Linked DNA regions of Xenopus tropicalis. The protein of the gene in region 3 interacts with the protein of the main gene of each other region in a biochemical or structural test. Links are inferred from orthologs where the notes say so. Each region holds a gene or a part of one and is shown on either strand. Other genes may lie near its edges. The genes, in order: nutf2, kpnb1, nup62 and ogt.

The links.
Region 1: the proteins of nup62 (region 3) and nutf2 form a complex in vitro, tested with the Homo sapiens proteins (3 studies listed by BioGRID). The link is inferred for Xenopus tropicalis from reciprocal best matches to the Homo sapiens genes NUP62 and NUTF2.
Region 2: the proteins of nup62 (region 3) and kpnb1 form a complex in vitro, tested with the Homo sapiens proteins (2 studies listed by BioGRID). The link is inferred for Xenopus tropicalis from reciprocal best matches to the Homo sapiens genes NUP62 and KPNB1.
Region 4: of the proteins of nup62 (region 3) and ogt, one has a biochemical effect on the other in vitro, tested with the Homo sapiens proteins (2 studies listed by BioGRID). The link is inferred for Xenopus tropicalis from reciprocal best matches to the Homo sapiens genes NUP62 and OGT.

What each region holds. Positions count from the first base shown.
Region 1 is NC_030680.2:41,284,352-41,292,598, forward strand, and holds the start of nutf2 (nuclear transport factor 2), read right to left. Parts: upstream 4,965-8,247; 5' UTR 4,939-4,964; intron 1-4,938. UniProt on the Homo sapiens protein: Mediates the import of GDP-bound RAN from the cytoplasm into the nucleus which is essential for the function of RAN in cargo receptor-mediated nucleocytoplasmic transport.
Region 2 is NC_030686.2:10,822,053-10,829,847, forward strand, and holds part of kpnb1 (importin subunit beta-1), read right to left. Parts: coding exon 7,692-7,795; intron 6,513-7,691; coding exon 6,321-6,512; intron 6,214-6,320; coding exon 6,083-6,213; intron 5,740-6,082; coding exon 5,592-5,739; intron 5,500-5,591; coding exon 5,428-5,499; intron 2,962-5,427; coding exon 2,817-2,961; intron 2,358-2,816; coding exon 2,275-2,357; intron 1,866-2,274; coding exon 1,758-1,865; intron 1,568-1,757; coding exon 1,424-1,567; intron 1,210-1,423; coding exon of another isoform or gene 1,204-1,209; exon of another isoform or gene 1,189-1,203; intron 1,170-1,188; coding exon 1,064-1,169; intron 797-1,063; coding exon 682-796; intron 1-681.
Region 3 is NC_030684.2:38,699,484-38,707,278, forward strand, and holds part of nup62 (nucleoporin-62 C-terminal-like protein), read left to right. Parts: intron 1-233; coding exon 234-317; intron 318-987; coding exon 988-1,072; intron 1,073-1,184; coding exon 1,185-1,329; intron 1,330-1,445; coding exon 1,446-1,495; intron 1,496-2,601; coding exon 2,602-2,736; intron 2,737-4,000; coding exon 4,001-4,112; intron 4,113-4,555; coding exon 4,556-4,622; intron 4,623-7,795. UniProt on the Homo sapiens protein: Essential component of the nuclear pore complex. The N-terminal is probably involved in nucleocytoplasmic transport.
Region 4 is NC_030684.2:44,078,885-44,086,679, reverse strand, and holds part of ogt (UDP-N-acetylglucosamine--peptide N-acetylglucosaminyltransferase 110 kDa subunit), read left to right. Parts: intron 1-4,581; coding exon of another isoform or gene 4,582-4,611; coding exon 4,612-4,762; intron 4,763-5,939; coding exon 5,940-6,183; intron 6,184-6,611; coding exon 6,612-6,680; intron 6,681-7,795. UniProt on the Homo sapiens protein: Catalyzes the transfer of a single N-acetylglucosamine from UDP-GlcNAc to a serine or threonine residue in cytoplasmic and nuclear proteins resulting in their modification with a beta-linked N-acetylglucosamine (O-GlcNAc).

The DNA.
Region 1 (8,247 bases), on a different chromosome or scaffold from region 3:
TTGGAATCCGGTTTGTACCACTTCAGTCAGAAGACAATAAAACTTGCCTAAACTGTTGCTCTGACAGATTCAAGAATACTTTTAGTAAATATTTGCTAAATTAAGAGTGTGGGAGTTAGTTAATTAAATTCCCATTAGCCTTTGTGTTTTTTGGTTTGATATGCCGGAGATATGCAAGAACAGTGATTTCCAACATATTACATGTAGCGGGTGATTATTTCTGATACAGAATGTTCAAGGGCTGAAATAAATCAGAATGATGATGCCATACAATTAAGTGTACAGAGCATTTGAGAACACCCTGGACCTTACACTTTTGGCTCTAGTTTAGAACTACTGGCAAATAAATAGAAGATGTTATTGGGGGTGATGGCTTGTTAGTTCACAGTTCAACTTAGAAGTATGTTTAATAGGGATACAGTGGTCCAGTGAATTTTTCAGTACAGGCCTAGGATTTAAGGTCAGTGATTTAGTCACTACGGTTGGCAACGCATCTGTATTTTACACTTTCCTTGTCCTCTGTCATAGACAGAGAAAAATAGGATTTGACTGATTTAACACAAACAAAACTAAAAAGGTAGCTGAACATATAAATATGAGTTTATGAGTCTAACAACACAAGCCCAGATCTTTAAATACTGTTGACAATTCTAACCGATCTAGATTCAAGAACTCTAAGGTCAAAGGCACACAGAGTGTTAGCTCCCACTTCCACAGCTTTGTGTATCTGCACTGACAAGTACAGCTTCTGCTTGAGTGCAGGTATTGAGCTGAGATTGGCACGAAAAGGCCTGCCGTTGCATTTTTTAGTCCGATCTCTGCTCGACATACCTGCACTCAGACGGCAGCTGTACTTGTCAGCGCAGATACACGAAGCTGGGAAAGTAAGCGGATTCGCTTCTTTCTGCCTGCCTAAAAAAATGCAGGCTGAGAGCAGCCTTAAAGGTGGCCATACACGCTAAGATCCGCTCGCTTGACGACCTCCCAATATCCCCACCTACAATAAAACCTACCCAATCGAGATCTGGCCGATTTCAGGCCAGATGTTGGTCGGGCAGGCCCATTGTTGGTGTACATACACGGGCCGATAAGTTTCCGAAATGGTCTACAGGAACGTTATTGGATGCTAGAATCGGCCCATATATGTCCACCTTAAGGGCAAGGGCACACATTGCATATCAAACACTTCCCTACGCCTGCGGTTTTTAATCAGGTGGAGAGAAGCAGATCCTAAGTTATCAGCAGCTATATGGAACAGTGATTGGCCCAAAATGGCAAAACAGGCAAATTGTTTGTTAAGCACCAAGCCCTATTGATTAAATTAATGTTAAAAAAGGGAGTTACTGTTCACTTAAATTGTTTCCTCCTTATCTGTAAACACTGGTTCTATAAACTAATGCTTTGGAGACATTTTTAGAGTACATGGCCTTACTTTGCATTTTGTCAGAGAAACAAGCAAAATAAGAAATAATGGTTCCCCAAAGTTGTTTTATTTGTTTAATTATATGTCTTGTTGGGGATGAGGATCCAAAATGGATCCTGGCCATGAGTTCTGAAGTTCTGTTTTGGGGAACAGACCTCAGTGTACAGGTATAGGACTCAAGGTTATTCCAGATTGTTTTGGCGCCAGTAAGGATTAATTATACCTTAGTTGGGATCAAGTACAAGGTACTGTTTTATTATACAGGGAAAAGGGAAATCAATTTTAAAAATCTGAATTATTTGATTAAAATGGAGTCTATGGGAGACAGACATTCCGTAATTCAAAACTTTCTGTATAATGGGTACCTATTACACCAATTCTCTCGGGAACTCTGCTAGTCAAGTCTCTGCCCAATAATCAGTGATTTCTTACCCATGTTCTTTGCCCTTAGTTGTAGTGTTTTAAAAGAACAGTTTGGTGTAAAAATTAAACTAGGTAAAATAGATAGACTGCGCAAAATAAAAAGTGTTTTTAATATAGTTAGGCAAAAATGTTATCTATAAAGGCTGGAGTGACCAGATGTCTTACATTAGACATCTGCTCACTCCAGCCTTTATAGATTACAGTTAATTATATTAGAAATATTTTTTATTTTGTGCAGTCTGTTTTACCCAGCTTCATTTTTACACTGAACTTTGTGTTTTAACCTCTGGTTTCTTAATTTTTCTTATTTTATCAATTATGTTATTATTCAATGTAGCAAAGGTATCCATTGCCTATTAGTAAGGTTTAGCTGTATGGAGATATAGCAGGTCCCTGCAAAATATTTATTTCAACAGCAAGAAATATGGCTTTTATTTTGTAGCAGTACAGCCTGTTTTGCAGCAGACTACACACTTCAGGGCTCTTAAACAATGACAGATCTGCTCGTTTGGCGGGGTCAACAAACAAGTGGATCTTTCCCAAGGCGGGCAATAAACAAGCCAATAAGATGCTAACCCCGTTGGCAGCTTTTATCGAGCTGTGTATGGCCACCTTTAGACAGCTAACTCTAATTAGGCCTGTCAGGAGATGTTGGGGAATTTAATAAGTGATACACAGTTGGTGCACATATTTCCACATAAGAAAAGGCTCCAACTCGCTCATTATGTGGATGTATGCGGGTATGTGCCCTAATCCCTCAACACACACATTGCTGGGGCACTAAATTATTATGTACATTGATGTACATCAAACATGGTTGTCCATACCAGAAGCCCCTCCTGGTGTGGGTGCCTTGTGCTTGCAATACTTTTGTTTTCCCAAACTAGAGTTCAGGCTTTATTAGCCCACATTTCCAGTAGACTAAACTTTTTATTTTTGCAAGATAGAAGTCATTTAACAATCTTAACACCTACAGTCATATACAAATATTTATTAAAAGGACAGATTTTAAAGAAAAAAACGTAGATCACTATTTTTATTTTTTCTGTGGACCATAAAAAATGTTGTAAAATCCAAAATAACATGTAAAAGTAATGGAAATGTGTTCAAGCAACACAAGCCTCAATTATTCAAGAGATATATTCACAGGAGTCATTTTTTTCTTTGAAACAATACTTTACTGTGGTAATGTTAAGGTGTTTACACAGTGCAGCATTAATTTGACTCTGTGGAACTGCATTTCCAAAACCACTCTGAACGTCAGAGGCACAACCTAATACAATAACTGATTTGTTAATAGTCATAGAAGATGCAAGTTAGCTAAAATCCTAATCCTGTAAATACTGAATTCCAAATCAACTAAAACATTTACAGAGGACAAAGGCCTTTTTAGGTAAACAAAATTTTGTGGTAATAAGTGGGGAAAATGTGTAAAAACTAAGAAATGTAGCAATTTAAATATATTTTAAGGTGGTAGGACCACAAAGATAAAATGTGCAAAAACTCAAGATGTGGGTATGTACAATAGAGATTAGACTGCATTTTATGAATTACACTCCAGCTATCAAGACACTGGGTTGATAGAACCAAGCAAAATAAAGAAAGAGATTATATCAAATATTGTGGTGTCCTACAACAAAAATTACTACAAAATGTTATGAGCAAGGTTGCCAAACTGGCTGTATATTACTGGACCAGTAGAACTTAGGCTGATGGCACACTAAAAGATTAGTCTCCTGTGATCTGTTGGTGCTCCCATTAGCCAAAAACTGCACCAGCCCAAGGTACCAGAGAGTGAGACCTGTCCTTTCTTGGTGACACTTGTGCATGCGCAGTAGAGTGAAAAGCCAAACTTTGATAGTTCTTTCACTCTACGCACATGCCTCAGGCCACTGCAGTTTTCTGCTAACAGGAGAACCTGCCTGGGGAATCAGGTGAGTGAATACAATACTGGGGGATGCCTAACATTTTGGCACCCCACAAGTGACTGAGACTTTCCTTCTCCTTTAAAATATACTCTGTGGGAGATGGCCATGCCTATTTTGCTCACATGGGGAAAAATTGTCTACATAGGTGTATACTGCCCCTTTAAAATGAACTTCTAGTATAAAAGTAGACCATTAAATTCTAAAAATTTGTAAAATTCTTAATTTTTTTTTACATTTTTTGTCCAGATTATCATTTTAACTACTGTCTCATTCATAGGGTTTAATTGCCTTGCAAAATGGCACCAGACGGAAAGTTGGAATGGAAGATAAATAGCAGAGGGACCAAATAGAAATAGAAGCCCATGTAATGTAAAAGGCCCCCCAATAGATGCCCTACAGTCTAGTTCTGGTTGCTTGTTGTCCAAAAACTTTAAAAAACAAGTATGTTCAGTTCTAGGCCAGAAATAAACAGAATAGACAAACTATTAGTCAGAAAACCATGAAAAGCTATAAATGATGACCATTTTAAAACTTCATAAGAATATGTCTATAACATACTAAAGTTTACTTGAGCTTCCCCTTTAACTTTCATATAGACGAGTCACATGGCAAATGCAGTCAAAGTGCTATAAATATAACTGAACAGTGAAAGTGCTGAGTATTCTCATTCCACAGTGGGTGGGTGGGGATCCTCCCCAATTATCCTGCTTATTATATATGTATAATATGAATGTATATCTATAACTACGCATACACACGTATATACATATCAGATATACATACTCAGTTATCTATATGTAAGTTATGTTGCGCTTGTTATGCCAGTACTTGAAAAACGAGGGTGGGAGAGCAGGCCCATATATAAGGGGTATAGAAAGATTTATAACCGATATTAAGCACCAAGTAATTCAGTTTACTGTTTTACTGACTGGTACAAATAGCAAATGCCAAATCATACTCTGTGCACGAAACTAGTAGGCAAAATGTATAAGTGCAAGCCTTAGGCCACCACCCACCCCAGTCCAGGCCCACATCTCAGTCATGCCAAGTTTATACGGCCCTTTGCGTCAAATAAGGTCAGATACTAAAAAACACTCATGCACAGCGCTAAACGCTATCAAACTAAAATGCCCCCTAAAACATATATGGAGATTAAAAACTCACCCCACACCAAATGCTGTGTTCTACACTGTACTGTCCCCAAGCTTCCAACAACTCCCGCCGCCACCGCCCTCCCGCGTGACAAGCCCCTCCTACAATGGGCGGGACCGGAACTCCGCGGCTGCTGGGAAATGTAGTTTTACCTGGGAACGTCAGAAGTTCTAGAATCGCCTTATTTATGAGTATAACGTGTTATGTTTCATGTTGCTGTAGTAGGTATGATATACCAACCTGCAGTGTTAATCGGTAATTGTATTAATGTGAACATTTTTTATCTGTGCAGTAAAGTATATGCATTTGTAGGGACCCAAACAAGTGTTACACATTCTTTAGGTATTTACAGTATCGGACTGTGGTAATTAGCCCTTTAGAGATCTTGATTAGCATTTATATTAGAATTAATTAATTGAATGGACCCACTGCTCAAATAATACCTCACAACTGTGTATTAATCTATCTGCCTATCATACACATAAATCCATATACAGAGTTAGATGTAGGTATGTATTATAGGCAGCCCACGTCCTACCTTTATACATGCAAGTCCAGTGTGTAAGCAAGGAGACCTTAAGAAAAGTTATGAAAAATAAATAAGCATTTATTTATATGTTGTAGTTTTGGTTCAAGACATTCAAGCAAACCGATATGCCCAGCCATATATATTGGTTTCCCTGATTAAGGTTTCTGTGTGGAACCAAAACATTGGATTAAATAAACCTTATATTTGCTTGATTTATCCTCTGTGTATATTCCTGTGGAGTGCCATCACTCGGACTTATTATATTTTAATTCTTGCACTGGCACCCAGGTATTAGAATTGACTTTAGGGGGCACATGTATCAAAGTACGCATGGGTCAGAATGGGAAAAATACTATACATAATTTCCACAATATTTTCGTTAAATTACGCAACTTTTTCGTGCTTTGCGTCAATTTGTGCAACAAAATCGTATCGCACATCAGAAATTTTCGTAGTTCCAATCGTACTTTTTAACAATACGAAAATCGTACTTTAATAAATCTGCCCCTAGGTGTGCTTTTCTTTTCCTCTGTGTATTAGGCTAGACCAGGGGTGCCCAACCTTTTTTACCTGTGACCTACTATCAAATATAAAAAGAGTTGGGGAGCAGTGCATGCATGAAAAACGTACCTGGGGGTACCAAATATGGGATGTGCTTGGTTATTTGGTAGCCCCTATGTGGTCTGGCAGCCTACAGGAGGTTCTGTTTCTCAGTACACCTTATTTTTATGCAACTACAACTAAAGTCCAGGCCAGGAATTAAAAATTAAGAACCTGCTTTCAGACCACTGGGAGCAACATTCAAGGGGTTGGGGAGCAACATGTTGCTTACAAGCCACTGGTTGGGGACCACTGGGCTATCCTGAGATTGCACTCAGCATTTATGGTACACCAGGACTGGGGTGGCCTAGCAGCTTTAGTTTTGAGTCTTCATTGTCATGATAATGAGAGTTTGTTAATGGAACTTGGTGGCTTATCAACTGGAGTGCTGAGGATACTTGGTATTCAGCAACTGGGCCAGCAGATGGTGAGGAAAAAGGGTGTGTAGATACAGCGACTGGAGTATGGAGGACAGTGCATCACAATTTACTATTGACGTGGACACATCAGGATTTTGGCTTTTCTACCATAAATGCAGATAGGATTCTATTTACAGAGACTCCTTTGGCCGTGAGTAATCCCATAATTGATGAGTATCATAAACTGATTGATAAGCTGAAATTTAAAAAGAGAGAACTTGATTTACAATTACATGGTATTTTCCTTTCTAATTACCATAGGCAGAGGCTTATGCCTTGGGGATTTAGAATCACCAATATCCCCACGAACGCTCCGAATGCATCTGAACATGTTTTTTTCATATTTATTTTGTATTTATTGCAACAGTTTCGTACCTTGTGCGACTTTTTTGTATTTTTCATGACTTTTTCGTACTTTGCAAAAAAATTTGCACGACAAAATCGTATTGTCACGCCGAGTACGAAAGTTTCGGATTCATTCAAGCTTCGTTATCGTGACTTTCCTTGGACAAGGTTGGAGCTGCAGAGTGCCATTGATTCCTATGGGAGGCTTTCAAAATCATGCACAGAAGGATCAAAGTCGGAAAGGTTTTCCTGCATTTTACGATCATTCAAAACAAAAATTTTGTGATTTTCAGATCGCCAACACGATATTTTCGTGACTAATACGATTTTTTCGTAAACATATTCGTGATATTGGTGATCTTCAGAAATTTTTGGATCCAATCCGAAGTTATCCCATTCAGGATTCGAACTCGCGTTTTCATGAATGTGCCCCCTAGTTTTGGAACAAGTGGGCAAGAACTGGAGTTAGAGGTGAGATTGGGCAACTGGAGGTACAATACCTAGAGTTCCTAAAGGCTGATAATACGACTGATTGGCTGGACAAATTTAAGACTGTAGTGGATAAATACAAACAGGAGTTGACTGCTTTTAAATAAAATAAACTCAAAAAATGTATCTGAGGACTACAAATCAAAATGGGTATACGATTGGCTTTTGGGGCCCAGAGATTGGTCACCCGCGATAAATCTTAATAACCAAGGCCGACTAATCTCCCTGAAATGCCATGCCACTGTCAAGAGTGTATATCGCCGGTGGGATGGCATTCGCATTGCTTCAGTTGGCCGAAGTTGCCCCGCAAGGAAACCTCGGGCGAATTTGGGAAATCGAAGCGAAATGTATGCCATCCCACCGGCGATTTACATTATTGCCGGTGGGATGGCATGTTGGGAAGATTAGTCGCCCGCGGTAGTTAATATTTATCGCGGGCGACTAATCACCCCGTGTGCCACTGCCACCTTAGGGTAAAGACACACGGAGCTACTAGTAGCAGCTACTTTTTGTGGCTACTAAAAAAGACAGTGTTGATCATTTGTTGATAATTGTCTCTACATGTGTTTTAACAGAGGCAATTCTCAGTGTTGTCTGTGGCAGGGTATTTTCTGGCGTTTAGTAGCCACAACAAATAGCTGCTAGTAAGTAGCTCTGTGTCTCTTCACCCTTAGTACACAAAAGAGATCGTTCCCGCACACCCAGGCTCTCCAAAAAACTTCAACGCCCGGTGCTCACTATTAAAGGAACAGTAACACCAAAAAATAAAAGAGCTTTAAAGTAATAAAAATATAATGCACTGTTGCCCTGCACTGGTAAAACTGGTGTGTTTGCTACAGTAACACTATTATAATTTATATAATAACCTGCTGTGTAGCCACGGGGGCAGCCATTCAAGCTGGAAAAAAGGAGAAAAGGCACAGGTTACATAGCAGATAA
Region 2 (7,795 bases), on a different chromosome or scaffold from region 3:
ATTCACCATCCACTGATGTCAATAAGCAGCTTCTTTTTCCTGTGACTATGTTTATCATGGAACAGTTATTCCCTTTAGTTATCTTGACGAGGGGTCCACAACTTGTGAGCCACAGTCAAAATGTAAAAAGACTTTGAGAGCAACAATAGCATCATAAAAGTTAATGGAGGTGCCACATAAGGGCTAAGATTGGCTATTAGGGGCCTTTAAGCACGCTATCAGCTTACAGGGGGCTTTATTTGGTAGTAAATCTTGTTTTTATTCAACCAAAACTTGCCATCAAGTCAGGAATTCAAAAATAACTCCCTGGGTTTGGGGGCACTGAGAGCAACATCCAAGGGGTTGGTGAGCAACATGTTACCCCCGAGCCACTGGTTGGGGATCACTGTTCAAGACCAATTCTAACGTTCAAAGAATTGTACAGCTTGTGTTTCAAAGCATTCTACTAAAGAAATGGCAAGAATGAAAGTCTGGCGTACAGGTCAGTTGATGGAAATATTAATGCAGATGCTTTTAAAAAAAGATCTGGTAACCTTGTCAAAGGGTGACCTGCCTGTGTTATGGTCAATTTAAGGAAAAATGGTAACTCATTCCAAAGCATCCTATAAACCAATGGGGTGAAGCACCATTTAATACAATGACCTCTATGTGCATGCAAGTAGTAAATAGATCGCCACTTACCCTATAAGACCAGCTCCACAGGCCACCACACTATCTGTATGATCCTCGTCACCCGCGATGTGATCGATAAATGACAGGATAAATTCTACACGGGGCTGCACCAACATCACATCGGCTGCAAGAGAGGTTACCATGACCTCTTATGCCATACACAGCACAAGAACATACAAAGCTGTGCCCCTGCATAACCCTTGACAAAAACAAAATGACCATAACTTTCTTTTTATGCCCAACATTGGGCCAGTGATCCTTAGCTAACATGAATGTCACAATCTGGACAATGGCAGGCAATAATATATTCACCTTTTATAATTAAAATTTTCAGTTCAACTCCTCGGATGATGACTTGACAGTAGACAAGAGTCTGCTAGGAAATACTTACGGTGGACATTTTCTTGGTCTCCCTTGAGCCCCTGGATTATTCCTGTATATGCTTCTAAGCAGCCCTCTCGAAGCTCATTTAGATAATCCACCATATCGTAATCTGACTGCAGGGGAAGAGACACAGAGGGTTGGGGAGAGTCACTCCTCGAACCCATAACAGACACAGTTTTAAAAAGTTATGGTGTGGAGGAAGCCAAAAATACAGGGAGGAAAAGTCTCAACTCTGTTCCCTAGATTATTCAACCAACAAGGCAGCTCAGGAATATGTTACATATAGCCGCTGCTTGTCTTGCTGCTCTAGATTGTGGAAATAATTCCTGCTGGTAAGGCCCTTTCGTGGAACAATGCTGCTGCTTACCTTGTCTACCTGAGCTTGTGATGCTTGCTGCAGTGTATTAAGCACAACATCTAGGTATTTTTTGAACTCCCCTCCAATGGCCAGGGCAACGTCTCCAAATACAGAAAGGATCTGAGGCTTCACTGAGCGGTGAACATTTTCATTCTGGTAATATAACAGGAAACAATCTATTAAGCATTCTACAGCATGAAATAGCTTGCTATTCTCCAAGATGCAAAATAACCATAACCAGACTACACAAGTAAGGCATGGTGGTATCTTTCCTAGGCTTACACGTCCATAATAAAAAGAACTGCAATTGCTGTACACAATTCCTCTTTCACCAAATACTTACCCCTAAGTTCTCTAGCAGAAGCTGCATCATTTCGTCACAGAATGGCAAGATATTGGATTGTAGAGCACGGCACAGGTCACCAACAAGTCCTACTGCAGCTAGACACACCTGGGAAAAACAACAGGGTTTACAGAAGCCTATTCTTACACAAACGCAGGCAAACGTGCTACTTTCTACGCTATGTGGCAGAAATGCAAATAAACAAAAGGGAACTCTAAAACTTCCTACAGTCTGGAAGAAGTCTTCAGAAATTCATAATCAACAGAACATTTCTGTGTGGTGCATGAACTTGTCATCCAGAGACTCTCCAGCAACTAGACGTTTCTAGGGCTTTTTTGTACACTAAGAACACTGCAAAACGACTGGGGTATTTAATATGCCATTTAATCTCCATTTAGATTACAATCACATGGGGGAGTCCTAATAGATTAAAAATTGGCTTAGCATTTTCCAGAATCTACAACCTGCCAGTGCGGGCCAAGGTGGGAGAGTTTGGCAAACAGGAATGTCATCTTACCTGATACTCTGCATAATTTTTAAGTCCAATGCCAAGGAATGGTTTAAATGCTTCCATGTACTTGAGGAATTCTGCTCCAAGCACTATAAAACAGGAATGCAAACCCCATACTTAATGAAAAATAAGTAACATGTCATTATGGCATCTATGTGACATAATTGTTCAAGATGACATTCTCCACTAGCCACTGTTGGCATCAGTAATGAGATTTATACCAACATAAACTCCACAGTTAGTATTGTTGTTGGTATATATATAGTTTATGTATGCGAGTGTATAGATATAGGTCTGTATAGGTTTGTGGGTGCTGGGTTTACTTGGAAGGGTTGAACTTGATGGACTCTGGTCGTCTTTTCAACCCTATGTAACTATAGGACAAAACCAGGGCAATAAATGAAACAGTGGTTTGTAATAGTATGCAATTACGACTACACTTTACTTTGTGACAACCACTGCATTCATATTGATTTCTATTTGTGCCAAACTTTGCAAACATCAATCTTACACATAGGTTGTACTGCAACCACATCAGGCACCATTACCTTCCACTAGGGTGCTGACTGCCATGAGGGCATCTTCCTGTACTCCCCCAGAACCTGCAGTGCTCTGGAACATGCGGAGCAATGAGGCCATCACAACATCAGATATCTGTAGGGCATCCTGGTGTTGCACCTTCCTCAGCACATTCTAGAGAAAACCATAATAGGATATACAGATTAAGAAAGTATAAAAACAATTCTGATACATAAAAACAAGTATAAGAGGTTTCTCTTGCCACATGGATGCATTTTCTTGCTTGCCGGAAAGCACTTGCTTAACACAGGTAGGGGAAGTTCATATTCAAGGGCTGAGACATGGCAGTAGCCACCATAATGAAATCAATAATTTCATGTTACATTGTTGGAACTTCATGTTCACGATGAGCCACTGCCCAGAGCTTCACAGACAACATGAACAAACTGCTGATTAGTCTCGTTTCTTTGCGCAATTATTATTTTCAAGACAACTGCTCTATATTGTAAAGTCTTTGTATTGTCAAAAGTTCCAGAAGGTATTATAACAACTGCACATACAGTGCACAATGTGTGACAGAAGCACCCCTATATTTTGCACATAGATAATATGACCACCAAATATGTAGGATAGTTTGTTTCCTTACCACAACTCCATTAAAGTTTAGTGTACAAGCCAAATGGTCAAACCTGGAGGGGTTATGCATCCAAGTGGGAAATGGGGTGTGTTAAGAAACTGTAAATACCGTATACTGGTTTTAGTGTTGTACCATATATTCAAGGTAATTTGTATAAAGGAAAAGTACAATCATTGGGGGTTACCAAAATGTGTACACTGGACTGTTGCAGTTTTCTACTAATGAGCACCGGCCTGGGATACCTGGTAAGTGATTGTACCTTTCCTTGTACTTTATGATACCAGCGCAATGACTGCAGTTTACTGCACAAAAATGTTCAGTTTGCTTCCATATTTCCTCATAATTTATTAGGATATGGGAGTCTTTCAGGATTTATAGGAGTCTTTGGATAAGCGTATTGCAGTTTATGGTGTTTGTGGGCCCATTTAAAACTAGTCAGGGTCTTCACTCTGTAAAACGCTGTGGGATTTATACAGGTAGGGGCTGGGAGCAATAGAGGTTGCATGATAGCAACACCTTTTAAAATCAGGGCTTGATTTGTGCTCACAAGGATCGACAGTTCCACTTAGACTGAGTCACCATGTAAGATCTTGCTGCAGTACTGCAGGCAGCTTGCATTTCAGTGTGGGTTTCAAGTTGTCAAATGAAGCCGCCAGGGAACATAACAGTGCAGATAACATACTCCCCTTAAAGAAACAGTAACACCAAAAAAATATATCAAAGTGTTTAAAAGTATTAAAATATAACATACGGTTTCCCTGCACTGGTAAAACTGGCTTTTTACCAGTATGAAAATACTGCTGTGCAGCCATAGGGGAAGATATTCAACCTGCAAAAGTGGGTTTATATTTCTGCACAAGGCCTAAATCTATTGTATCATACAGAGCTTATCTGCTATGTAGCCTGTGCCATTTAGCCCTATTTCAGCTTGAATAGCTGCCCCATGGCTATAAATCAGCTTATTCATATAATCTATAGAAGTGTTTAAGCAAACGTACAACTACCAGTACAGGAAATAGACACCCTATATTTGAATTCATTTTCAAATTTTTTCATTTTTTGATGTTAATGTTTCTTTAAATTTTATATTCGCTGTGAAAATACTGGAGACCTAAAGTCGTCTTGTCCCAGGCATGTACTAAAAGGTTGCAGCCTTCAATAATTATACAGGTATAGGAAAAATCTATGATCTTGAATGCTTGGGATCGGCTTTCCAGATAAGGAATATTATATATTGGATAACCCATTCCTTAAGCCTGCTAAAAAAAAAAAAAAAACATTTAAACATTACATAAACCCAATAGGATTGCATTGACACCAATATGGATTGACGCAGCTCAGTTAGGATTAAGCACAAAGTGCTGTTTTATTACTCCAGAAAAAAAATAATTTAGAAATTAGATTTGGGGCATGTCAACCCCAAAAATAATGTTTTGCATAATGAAAGAAAACATAATTCTAAGCAACTTTCCAATATGAAATAATTAAATATTTGTAGCGCTTTTAAACGTTATTTGTAAATGTAATTGCTATTGAAAGCAGCATTTGCTGAGCTCCTGGTTGTTACATTTTAAACAATGTTGCAAAGGTCTTGCTTCTCCAGCAATACAGATCTGTCAGTCTGCTGCCTTGTGTTACAATGTTTCAACAGTCTGAGCCCCCAGGGCAGAGAATAGAAAAGGACAGGCAAACACTGCTTCTAATAGCAATTATAAATACAAATAACCCAAAAACCATTACAAACTTGTAATAAATGTATATTGCAAAGCTGCTTAGAGTTTTGGTTTCTTTTATTAGGCAAAAAATTATATTTTGAGTTGCCTTGTCCTATAAAATGGACTCCATGGGAAATGGACTTTTCAAATTCAGAGGTTTCTAGATAAAAGGGATCCAAAACCTGTATTTGTAATACACTTTGTCAAGAGGTTGAGAAATGTAAAGTTAGTTATGAATATTTAAACCACCCAGTAACTTTCGAATTCTTACATTATAACAGTCCTTACCTGAAGGGTAGCACATAGCAGGGACTGCAAGTCATTGAACTGGATTCTATCCGAAGTGCTCTGTATGTGGGACTGTGGAAAGAAAAGGAGGGTGGAATATATAAGAGCTCTACTGGCTACAAAACACAAACTAGTCTCACGCAGCAGATGCTTTCAACTCCTACCTCCATCTGAAGTACTTGCTGTAGCCTCTCCATTATTACTAGGGTGGTTTTCTGTACTGCGGGGTAGCAGTCCTTGGCACTGTTCTTAACTATCTCCATTAGAGCTTCATAGGCAGCACTTCGCAGGTTGTTTTGATGTCCATCAGGCCTGCAATTTAAAGACTGATTAATATGCTGTTACAACTTAAAATGAAATCCATTAGCCTCATCACTTTAGGGCCACTACATCGGACAGGATCTAAGATTTTGGTTACATATAAATATGCTGAGCTTTTTTGGTGCCTTCAGAGAGTCATAATCAACACAGCTGGTTCTGCGTGGTGCATGAACTTATCATCCTTAGACAACCGCAAGTACATCCTATACTGTAAGGGAGTGTGGTGTAAAGGACTTGTAAACACTATATAGCTTCATTCATAATATCAGAGGGCCTGCATTTTTCAAATCAGCACAATTAAGAATTTAAGGCACATAATAGAGCTACACCTCACCTGTCTGTCGTCTCAAGCAGTTTCTGTACAATCACTTCAAACGAAGAGGACAGGCAGTATGAAGATGGCTCCTCCTGGTCATCAGTTACATCAGCGGCTTCATAAGCAGCCTCAGCTAAACTGGAGAAAGCCTGAAAGAGCAAAAATTCAAATTCTCTCAATTCAAACATCTATTATTACACAGCATTAATATTTCCACACATGCTTAAACAAGCACATAGCAACACTTTGGTCTTACCCAGCAGACATTTGATGCCACCCTAGGTTCTGCTCCAAGACCTTCAATGAGGCACTGAAGAAGAGGTGCCAAATATACATCATTGATGGCTGCTTCAGGTAACAGCTCACATATTCGCCCCACTGTCCAGGCCGTAGTGTCTCTCACAACTACACTGGGGTCCTTCATTAGCTCAATCAGTGTAGGCATTGCCTGTTGAAAACAAATCAGCCAAGTTTTACACCTCCCCAACCTGAAGACCATTCGCTTGAAAAAAAGCCAATGCCAACTCAGTGGAAAACTTAAACTTTAGATTTAACAATTGGATTTATAAAACAGTATAAGCTGTGTAATTACTACAGGTTTCAAAACCCTGAGTGAGATATGCAAACTTGAAGAACTGAATGGAAAAGTGGAGCTACATCAGTCAGCGGTTGTTTGCTTTAAGCTTAGCCAACACACTAAAAGAATATTACTTCTCTCCAATGTAGGATGAATCAGACATTTATTATAGAGGCACACATTATATAATGTGTGTATGCATAAATATATAATAAATGTGTACAAATATTTGCTAATGCCCCAATATATAATCAAATATTAACATCTGGTATGCAGTTAATATATATCAATTTGTATGTATTCATATCTATTGTTTTACACAGAGTATATGGGTAATGTAAGCTTAGTAGAGAACCAGTTGTCCAGGAAGCTTACACTCAATACCGCTCACACCCAAGTCAGTTTTCCATATCAAATGGATTCCTGTGACTGGTAGTCTAAATGTTTGTGGGTTACAGTTATCAAAAATCTCATTACTGTATGCAATACCTTTGAACAATGGGCAATTTTTTTTTATCATTCCCCATCTGAGCAGTTGGGATGTTAGCTGTTGCTGAAAAAAGTGTGCATTAGACAGTAGTGGGGGGGGGAAGCAGCTTGTAAGGAGACAGAGGAGCCTGTGACAAGATGTGAGGAATGCAGACCAGAGGTGCTGAAGGACAGAGGGAAGCCATGATGGGAAGAATGAAGCTGACCTCCATACTATTACTTTGGTGGTAATCATGTATACACTAAATAATCGGTAACTACATTTAGTGTGAATATTGGTAAAGTGTAACTAATCATTAAATTGAAAGGATCATTTGACTTATTACTCAACAGGTTCCTTTAAATATACACTTATTGTGGGGGGAGATTGTCTGCTTTTTCCCCCAAAAGAACCATAATAATAATAATAATATATAAAATTTTACAGTATTCAGTTATTTTGTCACAATGTCTTCAGAGAGTCATAATCAACACAGAGTTATTCTGTGTGGTGCATGAACTGGTCATCCTTAGACAGAAAAAAAACATTTTTGTAACTGGCTGGGAAGAAGTCTGAATTACCTGAATAACAAGAGGCTTCAGCTGACATGACTCTGGCCCTTCCAGAATGCAGCCAAACGCCATGACTGCTGCATCTCTGTAACGCCAGTCTGGATTTTTAATGT
Region 3 (7,795 bases):
CTGTTTTTTGTGTTTTACACTATCTTCTGTGTGGATAGTTATTTGAAAAAGAGCTTTCCCATAAACTATTTTACTTATTTTTGTTAAGAGATGCCCTAATCTGCTAGCTATATAGTTTATTTTTTGTCATACTTGTGATCCTTTGTGTTTCTTTTAATCTGATTCCTGCTTATGCCAAGGGCCTCAGTGCATAGCTTTGTATTCAGTAAAGTGAGATGCATATCTCTTATTAGTGAGTTCGACTACAGCAGGCACGGGTTTTGGAATGAAGATTTTGCCAAGCAGTGCTGCACCAACAGGAACATTGCCTACCAGCAGTAAGTATAAAGTGGGAAGTTTAGCATAGCAATAATTTCTGTAGTTCTGTGTTAAACACTTTTTTCACGGGATCATAATGTAATTTTAAGTTTACTCTTATATGAGTGAACAACAGAGCCTTGAGAACAGATGTTTTTGGTGATTGTAATGCAGGGTTTTGCAATATTGCAATTTTCTGCCTTACTATGCTCTTTTCCACCTTATTGTAATTGTGTGTAAATAATGGAAATTGTGCACTATTACATCCTTTTTCCTTGCTTTGCACTTTCTTGCCCTACAATACACTGTTTTGCCATATTGAGCATTTTGAGCAATAATTAAGATAAGCAGTGTGGGTCATGTGTATTGTATACGCAGTATACTGAGGAAGCGCACTGGCACAATACTCATTAGGAGCTCAGTGACCATGGAGCACTGTGGTACCTCTCTCCTTTGCATGAAGTTATGGTTGTTTTATGTGCAAAATAAAAGTTTGCATGTGTGATACTGCCTATGTTTGTAGGCACTTGTTCGCAATAAATTATTAGACTGATCAGCCGAATAAACCAAATCTTTAGTCCAATGCTATGGCTTTTCTTTAGGAAAATAGATTATAGTATAGTTGAAGTCTTTCTTCATGCATAAAATAGTTGCTGGTTCTCATCTAGAGACTTCTGTCCTTATTTTCAGCAGCCTCTCTTGGTATGAGAACTCCACTTTCTGGAACCACAGTTCAGGCTAATGTTGTCAGTTCTGCTGCAGCTGCAGGAGTCGGGTAAGAGGTGTCACAAATGATACCATTATCAGCATAGCAGTCATTAATTTTATTTCTCTGGTTGACTGATATTTTGATTTGTGTTTTTCCACATAATGGTTTGTCTTTTTAGTACTGCTGCAACAATGACTTATGCTCAGCTAGAAAATCTGATTAATAAGTGGAGTTTGGAATTGGAAGATCAAGAAAAACACTTTCTGCAACAAGCAACTCAGGTCAACGCATGGGACAGAACTCTTATGCAGAATGGAGAACGGGTGAGAAATCTGAGAAAAAAACACTTGTGTGGCTTAGTGTAAACAGTTTTTGTGTGTGTGCAATAATGTTTTCACAGGCAGAATTTATTTTTATTTATTTTTTTGTCTGATTTCAGATCACCACTTTACACAGAGAAATGGAAAAAGTTAAACTGGACCAGAAAAGGTATGAGTAGGAAGTAAAACGGCAAAAACATAGAAAATTTGACCAAGATGAATGATGTTTGGTTGATTGATTGAATATATGTAAGAAAGGCACACCTGAGCTGAAAATCAAATGTTTTAAATGTACAATATTGCATAAACCTATTAAATAATAGTTGGTTCTATTTTTAATGTTCTCATTTATAGAAATAGATTGAGTTTTTCATAGCAAAAAAAAAAAAGTAGGAAATATAAAACATGAGTAGTTGGGAATCACAATCCATGCAATTCAAAGTGAAAAGGGGACAGGGGGTGGGATGTTAGGAAAGGAGAGGGAGGATCAGTAACAACACTTGCATCAATGCTGGAGCCCTGTCAATCTTTGAACGCATATGCAAACTTGGTGTAACTAGATAGGGGACTTCTGGTGCCTCATCTTAAGAAGCAGTGCTGAAAGTTTGGGTTTTGTAAAGATAAAAATCCCAAAGTTGTAGTGGGCAAAAGTAGTTTCCTGTTCCTTCCACGTGGCAGTGGGTACCAAAGGTTTAATCTCCCCTGCCATGAAGAAGGTACAGGAAATTAAAACATATTAAAAGTACTTCCCCTTTCCAATGCACCTATTTATTTTTTCCTATCAAGACACCCTTTAAATACCAGCAGAGTAGCTCTCCTCTTGCTGAAGCTCCTGGGGCTGATTCATCTAAAAAGATTTATGCCTTTGCTGATCAAGATGTCCATCATTGGGTATTGGTATTGTCCTTAGTCAGTTGACATGGTTGCATAGGGAAGGGGAAGTCCTTTTTATATGTTGTCATTTTCTGTATATTTCATAGTAACATAGTAAGTTAGATTGAAAAAAAGATGTATGTCCATCACGTTCAATCATCTTCCTCACAGCAGGCACAAGAACAAGTATGTGAACAGATTGAAAAAGCAATGTTTAAAGTAATGTAAAATCCACAAACAAAAACAATTCAATAGAAAGTAAAATCTTGTTTTTGCTGTGTGTATTTTCATTTTCTGTCTGGCTGTGTAGAAATATATGGTGATTAAACAGGTACACCTGCATGCTAAGCTTGCTCTTTGGAAGCTATTGGGTCTGTTTCACCCTCTCTACTCTTCTATCAGGTTGGATCAGGAACTGGACTTCATCTTGTCACAGCAAAAAGAACTGGAGGACCTTCTGACTCCTCTGGAGGAATCTGTGAAAGAGCAGAGCGGAACCATTTACCTCCAGCATGCAGATGAAGAGAGAGAGAAAACGTGAGCCAGTATTATAATGTAATAACTAAGAAGTATAAGATACAAGGAGATCTGGGTTTGTGATTATACTCAAGTAGGCTTTGGTTATGAGAAAGGGAAGGCATGGTTAGGGCCAAATAATTGTGAATATCTTCCTGAAATAAGAATAATACATATTCAGAATGTTTCCCTCAAGAATAAAAATTGCATATCATTCATGTTACCCTTTACTACTCACTCCATGCAGGGTTGTGTCATTGAGTTGGTTATTTATAAATACACTTTGGTCTAATATATTGTTTAAGCAAAGGAAGGACACCCCAATTTATTTCACCTAACTGTCGGTTCTGCATGAAATCATATATATATATATATATATGAACCTGGAGTGTGCTGCCAACGTTTAAATCCTCTGCATGAAGAAAGGCTGCTCAGAGGGGGATAGTGAAGTGTAGCTTAATCATTTTAAAACAAGTTCTCGGTTCTGAAATAATGTTTGTGTATGTGATGTGCCTTAGGTAAGACCTTTTTGATGAAATTATGCTTTTACATTCCTGTTATATACTCGAGGAAGGGATAGGAAGTTCTGAAAAAAATGAATATTAACCGAAAAATAATGGTTTGCATAATGAAATAAAAAAAATAATTGTATGTAACTTTCCAGTACAGGTATGGGATCTGTTATCCGGAAACCCATAAGCCAGAAAGCTCTGAATTACAGGAACGCCATCTGTTACCAACATTATTAGCAAATCTAATTTTTAAAATTGATTTTCTTTTTCTCTGTAATAATAAAACAGTACCTTGTATTTGATCCCAACTTAGATATAATTAATTGGAGGCAAAGCAATCCTAATGGTTTTAATGTTTAAATAATTTTTAAATAGACTTAAGGTATGGAGATGCCTTATCCGGAAAGCCCTAGGTCCCAAGCATTTTAGATAATGGGTACCATACCTGTATAACCTGTATAAATTCTTTAAATTCACTTGCAGCATAAATCAGAACACTAGCTGTAAATTAACTCTGTATTCTTTAGATTTTGTTCACTTTTTCTATAGGTATTTTTTTTTTATGCTGTGCAGTCACAGAATTCACATCATCAGTACTGATGTTCTGTGAAACTAGATATATTTAGTGTGTTTTCTGTTTTTTATTCTTTTTCTTTTTGTCAAGCTTTAGCAAGCAGGTACATTTTTACATTGCTGCACACATTTTGCTATCTTTGGGTTTATGTAACCTGTAGAGTAATCCTGAAATTACGAAACATTTGGTGTGTTTTCAGGTACAAGCTGGCAGAAAACATTGATGCCCAGCTGAAGCGCATGGCCCAGGATCTAAAGGAGGTTATAGAGCATCTGAACACATCAGCTGGGCCAGGGGATGCTGGAAACCCGGTTAGTACTCTTTCTTCTCTGGAAGAGATTTCATGTTTCTTATTTATCTCTTATTACATTTTCTTGGATCATACTTTATCACTCTAATCAAAGGGGTCCTCAAACTTCTTAAGCAAGGGGCCAGTTCATGGTCCCTCAGACTGTTGATCGGCCAGACCACCACCCCCCGACAAACTATGGCCGACTCCTGCATTCTCTCCCCTGCCAGGGGTGAGGACACAGTGGTGGCCGGGTAAATTAACCTGGGGGTCAGGATCCGGCCCGCGGGTCATAGTTTGAGAATCCCTGCTCTAATGCTTCTATCTTTTTACAGTGGTTACTCACATCTTTGCCAATTACTAACTCTGCATTGCTGGCTGCTTTTACTTTATAACTGTCAGGCCTCTCTTAGCATTATCACCTTTTAACTTTTGGAGTGTTCATTTGTATTTGTATTTCTTCAGCTCCAGCAGATATGCAAGATTCTCAATGCCCACATGGACTCTTTACAGTGGATTGATCAGAACAGTGGTGAGTTGAAGAATGAGGCTTTGCGCAAAGTTTGTATTGGAAACTAGCATACCATAAAATAATAGCATTTTTGTTTATTTTAAATCGGATCTGTTCTGTGCAGAATAGTAATGATGCTGTTCTGGGTCAAAGCTGAAAATGCTGTGTGGAAACTGTTCTTCATAGATTGCTCAGGAAAGAAAGGCTGTAGCTTTCTTTTATATTGAATAGCGCTATGCTTTACACTATTTATCAAAAAGTAAAAGGAAGTAGAAGGACTACATCTGGCATTTAATAGAACACTTTGTTCTTTGAAACATGTAGTTTATTGGCTTGCTTTTATGCAATTTTGTGTGTGGGTATCCGTGCACAGCTTGTTTACAGTTGTACTTGAGGTGCATGGAATACTTGTTTGCTCTTGTGGAGAAATCTTTGTCACCCCTTGGGTCGCCTGCCATTGAAGTGAATTGCAGTCACCTATAACCAAGCATGGATTTTGTTTCATAGTTTTAATAAACAGGTATAAATAAGGAAGGACAATATTTATAGTTAAAATGGTCTGGACACTGAAGGTGGCAGCTTGTCGTCCCATTATCCCAGACGATAATCAGCCAGATCTTGATAGCATTGGTGCATTGATGTGGTCCTTATCCCTATGGCCCATATCATGTCAGTGTCATCCAATCGTTTGATCCTTGGGCCAGATGATCAAGGTGATTAAAGTGAGCTTATCAGCGAAAGATCCACTCATTTTGTGATCTTAAAGCATATGGGCAACTAAAAAAAAAAAAAGTAAATGGACCTTTGCATGAGCCACTTGCATTTCACAGACGGTACGGTGTTGGCCTAAGAATTTCACGACAGGCACAGCATGGCCCACAGAATTTCACTATTGGTGCAGTTAGTGCTGGGCGGTATGACCAAAAATTTATATCACGGTATTTTTTTTATTATATCGGTATCACGGTATTTGACGGTATTTTTTTTTCCCCATGCATGATTACGTGACCACCCCAAACACCCCCCCCCCAACCCCAAACACCCCCCCATCCAACCCCCCATCCAACCCCAAACACCCCCCCATCCCCTTCACATAAATAAACCTTACGGACCAGGCAGCCGCAGGCACCCCCGACAGCTCACAGAGCCTCCTGGCAATTTTTCTTACTATTTCCGGGTTGCGCGCGTGACGTCAGCGTGCGCGTGACGTCAGCGCGCACGTAACGTCAGCGCGCACAACCCGGAAATAGTAAGAAAAATTGCCAGGAGGCGCCCACACCGGTATGCCGGTAAGTTAAAATTTTTTATCATCTTTTTTAAAAAAACCGGTGTTCGGTATATACCGGTATACCGCCCAGCACTAGGTGCAGTGTGTCATGACAGGCACAATGTGACTCACCCAGCAATTCATAATAAGAACTTGTAGTCCAAAGCATTACCTTACAGTGCAAAGCAGGTTACATTTGGTAAATAATGTGTCTGCCAGCAAAGAAATTTTGAAAAAGAGTGTGAAACAACAGCAAGTCACTCAGCCATGCCATTACTAGCTTTTTCTACAGGGACTGCAGCAATAGCAGAATGTTGAGTAACCTAATGTTTAAATACTATACAGATAGCGCAGGCACTTGTGTATAGGAGAGAGAGGTTGTCTGGGTGTAGTTCAAGCATAGACTTTCATCAGGAAAAAGGAGCCCACACAACTCATGGCTTAATCGGTTCTCAATGTAACTCTTTATTGTGGAGACTGTGGGCTGAAGAGTTAGTCTCCCCAAGAAAGAATTGCGCTAAGAATTGATTAAACCCTGAGTCTTGCAGGATCCTTTTTTTTTTTATATAAAAAAAATCTGGAATTCATGTTTGTTGGGCAGCTTCTCTGTTACAGGAGGGGGAGAAGTAACAGGAAGGAAAGGTGTGAATTTTCATAAAAAGGGATTCAGTTATTAGAAATGTGAATACACTAATCAATCGCAAGGACCCTACATGCTGAACTGTCTGTTGTTTGCCTGGTGCTTGGGTTCAGAGGGGCTGGGGAAAAACAGTGAAAAACAAAGTGAAAAACAATGTTAAAGGAACAGTAACACCAAAAAATTCAAGTGTATAAATAAATTCTAATATAATGTACTGTTGCCCTGCACTGGTACAACTGGTGTGTTTGCCTCAGAAACACTACTATGGTTTATATAACAAATGCCGCTGTGTAGCCATGGGGGCAGCCATTCAAAGGAGAAAAGGCACAGGCACTTAGCAGATAACAGAAAAAAACACTATTGTATTCTACAGAGCTTATCCGTTATCTGCTATGTAACCTGTGCCTTTTTTTCCTGCTTGAATGGCTGCCCCTGGGGCTACACAGCAGCTTATTTATATAAACTATAGTAGAGTTACTGTAGCAAACACACAACTTTTACCAGTGCAGGGCAACAGTACATTATATTTAATTTCCTTTAAAACTGTTTAATTTTTTGGTGTTACTGTTCCTTTAATCCTTGGGCTGGTCCAATTAGCTTCTCAGAGGAGGGAATACTTTTCCCTTCTGAGGAGGCTTCAGATGGGGTTTTTCACTGTCTTTTTGGAGTAGCTAGCAGAGTTCGCATGAAAAAAATAGGTTGAACTTGATGGATGTGTTTTTTTTGCACCTTAAATTACTAGGTTACTAGGAAAGCAGTGGGAGTGGTAGGCTTGGTAACCTGCACGCCAAACACTGGCTTTTTTGCAAAGCTAAAATTGAACGGATAAGAAACATTTGAATGTTGGGCTATCGCCAATTGAAATTGATCATTGGCAGAAAGTTGGCTACAGTGCTTATTGATACCCAGTTTTCTTGCTCAATAGGAGGTTTGGCTTAGTTAGCAATTTAATCATTGTTAGTGTGAGTTTTAAAGAACAAAACCTGTTCTGTCCAGAGCAAATAACTTCAACAAAATATCACATTCCCTTGTATAACAACCAATTAAATGCACTTTTATTTCAGGTACAGGTATGGGATTCCTTATTCAGAAACCTATTATCCAAAAAGTCCGAATTACGGAAAGGCCATCGCCCATAGACTCCATTAAAAGCAAATAATCCTTATTTTTAAAACTGATTTCCTTTTTCTCTGTAATAATAAAACAGAACCTTGTACTTGATCCCAACTAAGATATAATTACCCCTTATTGGGGGCAGAACAGCCCTATTGGGTTTATTTCATGGTT
Region 4 (7,795 bases), about 5.4 Mb from region 3:
GGGCACGGGACATGATAGTGAGAGAAAAGATGTATCATGCTGTTGATTATATTTGTATGTCCCTGTAGTTGCGTATGACCTGCCAGGATAAGTATTGGGACCACTGGGGCTGTGACAGTAAGAGGAAAAAGACAATATATTCTGGATAACACGTTTATTCTTATAGTTGTTTCTGTTCTGACAGTATGAGTATTGGATCACTGGAGGTTTGGCAGTAAGAGGAAAAATACATCATGCCATTGGTAACACTTGTATGTCCCTGTAGTTGCGTATGACCTTCCAAGATGAGTATGGGAACCATTGGGCTGTGACAGTAAGAGGCAATAGACATTGTCATTGATAAAGCAATATGTGTCTTCATGTAACCTGGCAAGATGAGTATTGGGGGGCACTGGAGCTATGGCAGTGCTGAAACATACGTCATACTAGGAATACATTGTGTCCCCATAACTGTGTGTCACTACTAGGGTGAGTATTGGGGGCTCTGGTGTTATGGCAGTAAGAGAAAATACACATTATGCCATTGATTACGTGTATGTGTAGAGCTGGGCGGTATGACCAAAAATTTATATGACGGTATTTTTTTTTTTTTTTCCATGCATGATTAGGTGTTACCCCATTTCCTAATAAATTAGAGAATAATTACTGCAGTATTGAAAATCAGAGTCAGGCAAGCGAAGGATCGGCAACAGAAAGTCGTAAGGTAAATCAGGCAGGCTTAGTTTCCCAGGCAAGGCCGCAGACAACATAGCACAGGAGGAGGCGTTTGATAGCTTTAAATACCCCCCACGCATGCGCAGAACCGGCGCCATCAGCGCCTTGCGGACGTGCACGCTTTGACATGTACGTGCGCGCTTTGACATGTACGTGCGCTTTGACGCACGCGCACCGTCCCGCGGACAACGGGACGCGCGCGAGACCGGGAAGCACGGGTGTTTACCCTGACACCCCGGTATTGCGGTATCTGAAAAATGAATATAGTTTAAAAAAAAAAAAAAACAACCGGTATTCGGTATTAAACGGTATATCGCCCAGCCCTATGTATGTGTTCTTTTATCTGCATGCGACATGGCAGGGTGTGTGTTGTGCTCACTGGAGATTTGGCAGTAAAGAGAAAAACATCATATAGGGATAACAATGTTCCTGTAGTTGTGTATACTGGGGGCACTGGAGCTACAATAGCGAGGAAACATATTGCACTAGGAATAACAAATTGGTGCCCTTTTAACAGTTGTATGAGTTGGGTTTTTTTGTTGTGATTATGTTATTTGTTCAATTTTAACTTCTGCTTTCACCACCAGGAACATCATGAAAAGTTGAAGTAATATAATGTTTTTCTCAGAATGACATGTGCTTGCAGTGTGTTTTCATAGTAATGCTGTTAGTTCTTTGTATCTCGGCTAGTGATTCAGTATGGGATGTATTCACTCACGCTTATGACTCCAGAGGGATACTGTTAACATTTACTGCAGCGCCAAGCATGCATTAACTCTATGCATTTAAAGTCAGGTGAACCTGGGGAACCCTAAATTCACTCTTTGATAAACATATCCTTTACCCTTGCACTGCAATCGTTGCATTAAAAATTTATGGCACATTTATTCCTTTAAAGCGGTTATAAACCAAAGCATAGAATTTTCCCAAAGGAATATATAATTCTAAGCAACTTTACAATATAAATACAATACGTTACATGCTTTAAATGATTGTCAAAGCTTTTTGTAGATGTTGTTGCTAATAAAAGCAGTGTCTCTAAACTTTGATTTTCTCTACACTGTTGGTTTTGACTATTGAAATAATGTAATGCAGGGATTGGCAGAGTGGCATTGGAGAGGTGTATGAGCCTGGCAGCAGTATTCATTATGGACTGGAGAGGGGACAGTCTTTGGAGGGGAAGGCCAATTAATAGGGAGTTACAGTAGTCCAGGCGAGAGATTATAAGAGTGAATAAGAATTTTGGCAGAATCTTGGGTGATAAATTATCATATTTTGGAAATATTTCTTAGGTAAAAGTGACATGATTTGATAAGTGACTGGATATGAGGCGTGAAGGACAGGGCAGAATCAAGGATAACCCCAAGGCACTGGGTCTGGGAAGATGGAATGATTGTAGAATTGTTAACCGTTATAGATACCTCGGGAACAATTTTGGCGTTGGATGGGGGAAAGAGAACCAATTCAGTCTTAGAGAGGTTTAATTTAAGGTAACGTTTGAACATCCAAGTGGAGACAGCGGACAGGCAGGAAGAGACGCGAGTTAGAAGCTCTGGGTTGAGATTAGGAGAGGAAAGATAGATCTGAGTATCATCAGCATAGAGGTGGTACTGAAAGCCAAAAAAATTGATTCATTTGCCAAGTGAGGAGGTATAGAGAAAATAGTAAGGGGCCCAGAACAGAGCCTTGAGGAACCCCAACAGAAAGAGGCAAGGGAGAAGACGATGCTCCATTATAAGGGCCACTGAAGTTCAGAAAGGCACAGACAATACTGCTTTTAATTGCAATTTTAATGTGCTTTAAAATTTCTGTATTCTTGGAAGGCTGCTTAGAATTAAAATATTCTTTTATTAGGCAGATGGTATTTTTGGGTTTATATCTTCAAGAAGATATAATTTTTAACTGGTGAGTGTATTCTTTCTTGTTCCCGGCGCATTTAGAATAAATGATTCTTGGACAAAGGTTGTGTCTGCCATGATTGACACAGCTTCTTGCAGTAGTCACCCTAACCTGCCCTAGCCCAACATAACCCAACCTGGGCTGGGGCGTCACAATTATTTATATACCCAAGACTAATCTGCCCACCCATTAGCAGCAGAGTGGTATATGCCCACAGGGGGGTTGCTCTTGCCAGAAATTGTATTGTTTTCCCCTCACGGAGTGCAAGGCCTGTTGACGCACAGCTTTGGCAGGGGAAATTTATTTAGGTGCCCCAGCATGTACTCCCTGTGTACACTGTCACTCTTCCTGGTAAGTTTGCTTCTGGTTATTCATGATGGCTGTTAGATGGTTTTTCTCAGCTGGTTATAGTTTAAGGCCTAAAAGATGTTCATATTTTGTACCTGAGACTTTCCAGTGGTACTTTGCATTTTTCGGGGATTGATTTCCTGCAGGTATATGGACGTTTGCCAAAGCTTCAATTGTTTGTCAGCAGGCTTTAAATTTGACCCAAGTGCTTTATCTTAGTTTTGAGCTACATTAAAACATAATGGCTGCAGTGCTCTGAACTAACGCCACAAATAACATTTCCGCGTAGAATTTGTTACTTTGTAAAACAGGTATTTGTATTTGTCAAGTTTGATCTAGGGACAAACCAGATTCATACTTTTATAATTCTGGGGAACACTGAATCTTCCACAAAAGATTTGGCCGAATACTGAACTGAATCCAAAACCTAATGTGCATATTCAGACTAAAGAAGGGTAAAAAGTCTATTGTGAATACACGTGTAATATATAAGTAATAAGTGAATGCTAGCAAGGCATGGGTTATTGGCTTGGTTGTCCAAAATGGGGGCAGGATTTATGTTGACAGGTTTTATATTATCTCTGGTTATATATGATATGCCATTAAAGGAGACATATCCTATAAAAATTAAGAATGTACCAGAGAATTATACTCCTCCTAGATATAGAAGGAATGTGCTTAAAGTATTTCAGACTGATTTATTGAGAAATTCCACTAGTCCCACCCATCAGTTCCACTTCCTGCTGGCTGAATTCTCTGGATGAGCTGGGGAGCCGGCGGCCCTCCGTACACTGCACTATAAGATAGGAACCAATCAGCAGCTAGGCTGACCTGATAGGGAACTGAAGCCTGTCTTTGCTTGTGGGCGTGCAGGGCTGTGATTGGCTATCCTCCTCCTACTGTGCTTCTGGCAGGGACTGTTAGGACACGCCCACTCTCCATTTCAAACTCGGAGGGAGAAGAGATAGGATCTATAGGGAGCTCCAATAAAGGGGCCATTTTTACAGATAGGATTAATGTTTAGCACAAAGTGAAACCAGCACCTTTATATTATTCATAATTGCCTACAAAATTAGGGTTTCCCCATTTATCCAATATGTCCCGTTTAAGATGTGATTGGAAAATACTTTCACTGCTTGAAATAAAGGACAAAGAAAGTAAAATAAAGTGTGTGCAGAACTGTAGAGTATTAAGTGTGTATTGTATGCTTTGTGTCTTTCGGGGATCTGATACCTTGCCGTTATCCTTCACATTTTGTAATTTCTTGAATTTGTTCTCTTTTCACAATATTTTATTCTTTGAAACAATGCAACCTGGTATGTGATACCTTGCTTTTATCCTGTACATTTCATTATTTCCTGGATGTTATTTTTTCACAATATTTATTCTTTGAAATAATGCCAACCCACAAAGAAGTTTGCAAACTACAGACTATAGGTAATGTGAGCCTTTCTCTGTATGCAACATGATTTCATGCTCATACAAAAAATTTTTTGGGAAGTTTTTCATCTTTTTTTTTTTTTTTCTTTTTTTTTTTTTTTATCATTCACATTTTTTCTGTTCTTTTTATTTCCATTTTCTAATTTTTTTCCCCCCCTAAATGTTTTGATGATTCTCTAGAACCAACGAAACGTATGCTTTCCTTCCAAGGGTTAGCGGAGTTGGCTCATCGAGAGTACCAGGCTGGAGACTTTGAAGCAGCTGAAAGACACTGCATGCAGCTCTGGAGACAGGAACCTGATAATACTGGAGTTTTGTTGTTGCTGTCATCTATACATTTCCAGTGCCGTAGGCTTGACAGGTAAGAAACCCTTTTTGTGAATGTAATTCTATTCAGATATTGCCAGCCTGACACAATTTGTGTTATTCCTCATGAAAGGTTTAGCTATATTCTTAACCAAATCCTCAAATGAATGACAGAAACTGTTTAACGGCCTCGGCATTAAATCATATCCAATTATTTGTTGTTTTAACTCTGTGCAAGTAGTTTTGTACTTCCTTAAGTTAATATTATTGTAGTTACTTTTCCACCCAGAATGTAATAACAAATGGTACTAGGTTCTATAGTATTTGAGCTGAGACCCTTCTATATACAACATAGTTAGTTCTCACTCATTTTTGCCGTGATACCGAGGGCTGGATTGATAATGGAAGCCAGTTTTGACCACTACCCAACACATAATCACACACTTTAGGGACCATACAAGGACTATTTCCAAATGCGAACAAACTCCCAGAACAAAACCCTGCAGACAGGGACAGGCATAGAATGGCACACACTGGCAGCATAGGGTGGCAGAGAATGGCACACACGGGCAGCATAGGGTAGGCAGAGTATGGGGCACACGGGCAGCATGGGGTAGGGAGAGTATGGCACACACAGGCAGCATAGGGCAGGCAGAGTATGGCACACATAGGCAGCATAGGGCAGGAAGAGTATGGTACACACAGGCAGCGTAGGGCAGGCAGAGTATGGCACACGCAGGCAGAGTTTAGCAAACAGGCAGCATAGGTTAGGCACAGTATGGCGCACACAAGCAGCATAGGGCAGGCAGTATGCCACATACAGGAAGGGTATGGCAGGCAGAGTATGGCACACACAGGCCGTACATACAGTGACACAAGGCTGGCACGGCTCCTACAGTCTGCGGTGTAAGCAATGTGGGCGTGTACAGTCTTTGCCTGAGCTGTGAACAATGGAGGAACTAAAAGATGTAAACAACACAGGGTTTAAAGTTGTTTACAGCCTGAATCTGAGGTGTGAACAATGCAGGGGGCAATTCATCTCAGTACTGTTGCCATTTAAAGCTTACACATAGCTAAGCAATTACAGCATCCAGACAGGGGGGCACATGGGGGGGGGGGGGCTGCGTGCCGCCAGTTGGACAGCCCCGAGGTTCAGCTTGCTTTATGTTTAAAATTAGGTAATACAACAAAATATGATTTAAAGTAAGTTTTGGTACTTTTTTTTTTAATAGGTCTGCCCATTTCAGCACGTTGGCTATTAAGCAGAACCCCCTTCTTGCAGAAGCCTATTCGAACTTGGGCAATGTTTATAAAGAGCGAGGACAACTTCAGGAAGCTATTGAACATTATCGGCATGCTCTGAGGCTAAAACCAGACTTCATTGATGGATATATTAATCTTGCTGCGGCTTTGGTAGCAGCTGGTGATATGGAGGGCGCAGTACAAGCTTATGTGTCTGCTCTTCAGTACAACCCTGTAAGTTATTCTTTGTATGTTTAAATGGACAGTACCACTTATAAATGAATTCTTGAAAGTCCACATACAAATGGGATCCTAGGACAGCATGGAATTGTATGACAAGCTACAGCAGCCTTATGTCATTCAGTTGAAACCCACCCCTATGTTGCTCCAATACCTATTCCAATGTGGTGAATTCTGTTTTTTTTTTTTTTTGTGTGGGGGCAAGGGTATATAGCAAATAGGGTATATAGTTGGTTCAGTGGGAAGAGATTAATCGAATGTGATAGTGTTGAAGTACCCTCAGACCCTATAAAGGGTTAGCCTAAGCAAACATTTGCTTCCAAACCTTAACATACTTTATGCTGCTTTTGTCCATTGTGAGTGTTAAATGTGTTTCTGTATTTTAATCCTATTTTTGTCTTTCTCTTTTACCTTTTCGACAGGACTTGTACTGTGTCCGTAGTGACCTGGGTAATCTTCTTAAAGCCCTAGGTCGCTTAGAAGAAGCTAAGGTAGGTTTTCAGTATATTGATAATCAATGTACATGCCAATTCCAGTGTTGCAAAACCTTTGCTTTGCCTTAAAGCTTTATAACTAGTGTATACAGTAACATGTTAATCAAATGGAGCTGTACATGAAACGCATGATCCGAGGAGTATCGTTTGGTTACACAACACCTCAGGTTTGAGGAGTTGTTCATCTGGTTTCTTAAACTTTTACTATTTTTAAAGGCATCAGTCCTATCCTTGGTTTACTAAATTGACCAAATTCATCTGGAATTGGTCCCCTGCTCTCCAGCTCATCATCTGATGAACATAAGGGGGACTGCAAAGCCAAAACAAAAGGCCCATCCATTTTTCTCCTCTAGCCCCCTCTTCCCCCCAGTGAATGTTGCTTTTTTTATGGAAGAAAGGCTGTTTTAAAGTAAATGCACATCTGACCCAAAAACTTAGTTTGCACTCCTATTCACAGCAAAAGGACAGAGGCTGGTTTGTATTAAGAAAATGGACTGATAGAAAGAAACTAAGAATTTAAAGGTGGCTTCTAGCAGTTGACAGTTACAGACTTGGTAAATTGTAATCTATTTTTTGATGTTTTAACAGGTTTGCACTTGTTTGTAAACTTAATGTGAAATACAGCAGTCATGTTACAAGCCACCTTGTGCGTCTGCGCTGCTAGGAAAAGGGGTTGGGAGAAATTAGAGGACATGTGAAATCCCCCTGTTACTCCACACCCCACGCGCCTGCAATTGCTTGGAGTGCGAATGCAGAGTAGCTGTCCATGTGTAATGAGACCCATGGGGAGGGTTACCTTTTTATAGAATTCACTATTTAAATTGGTACCAAAAGGGTCAATTTCAGGTTAGCACATCCTTTTATTTTTTAAGGGGCTCTGATTTTTAATTACCTGTTATTGTGGTTCTCAGCTCTCCATTTGGACAACTAACACATATTGCACTTCACTGCTGCTTCGGCGACACTTGCATAGGAGAAGTCTGCGCTGGCATAGAAATGCTGATTTCTTTATTTCAGAGTTCTGGAAGCAACTAGCTTGAGAAACTGTTCTTTGGCAAGGATTTAAATATACATGAACAAGTTAACTGAATTCTTTCTCTGTAATCAGTGCA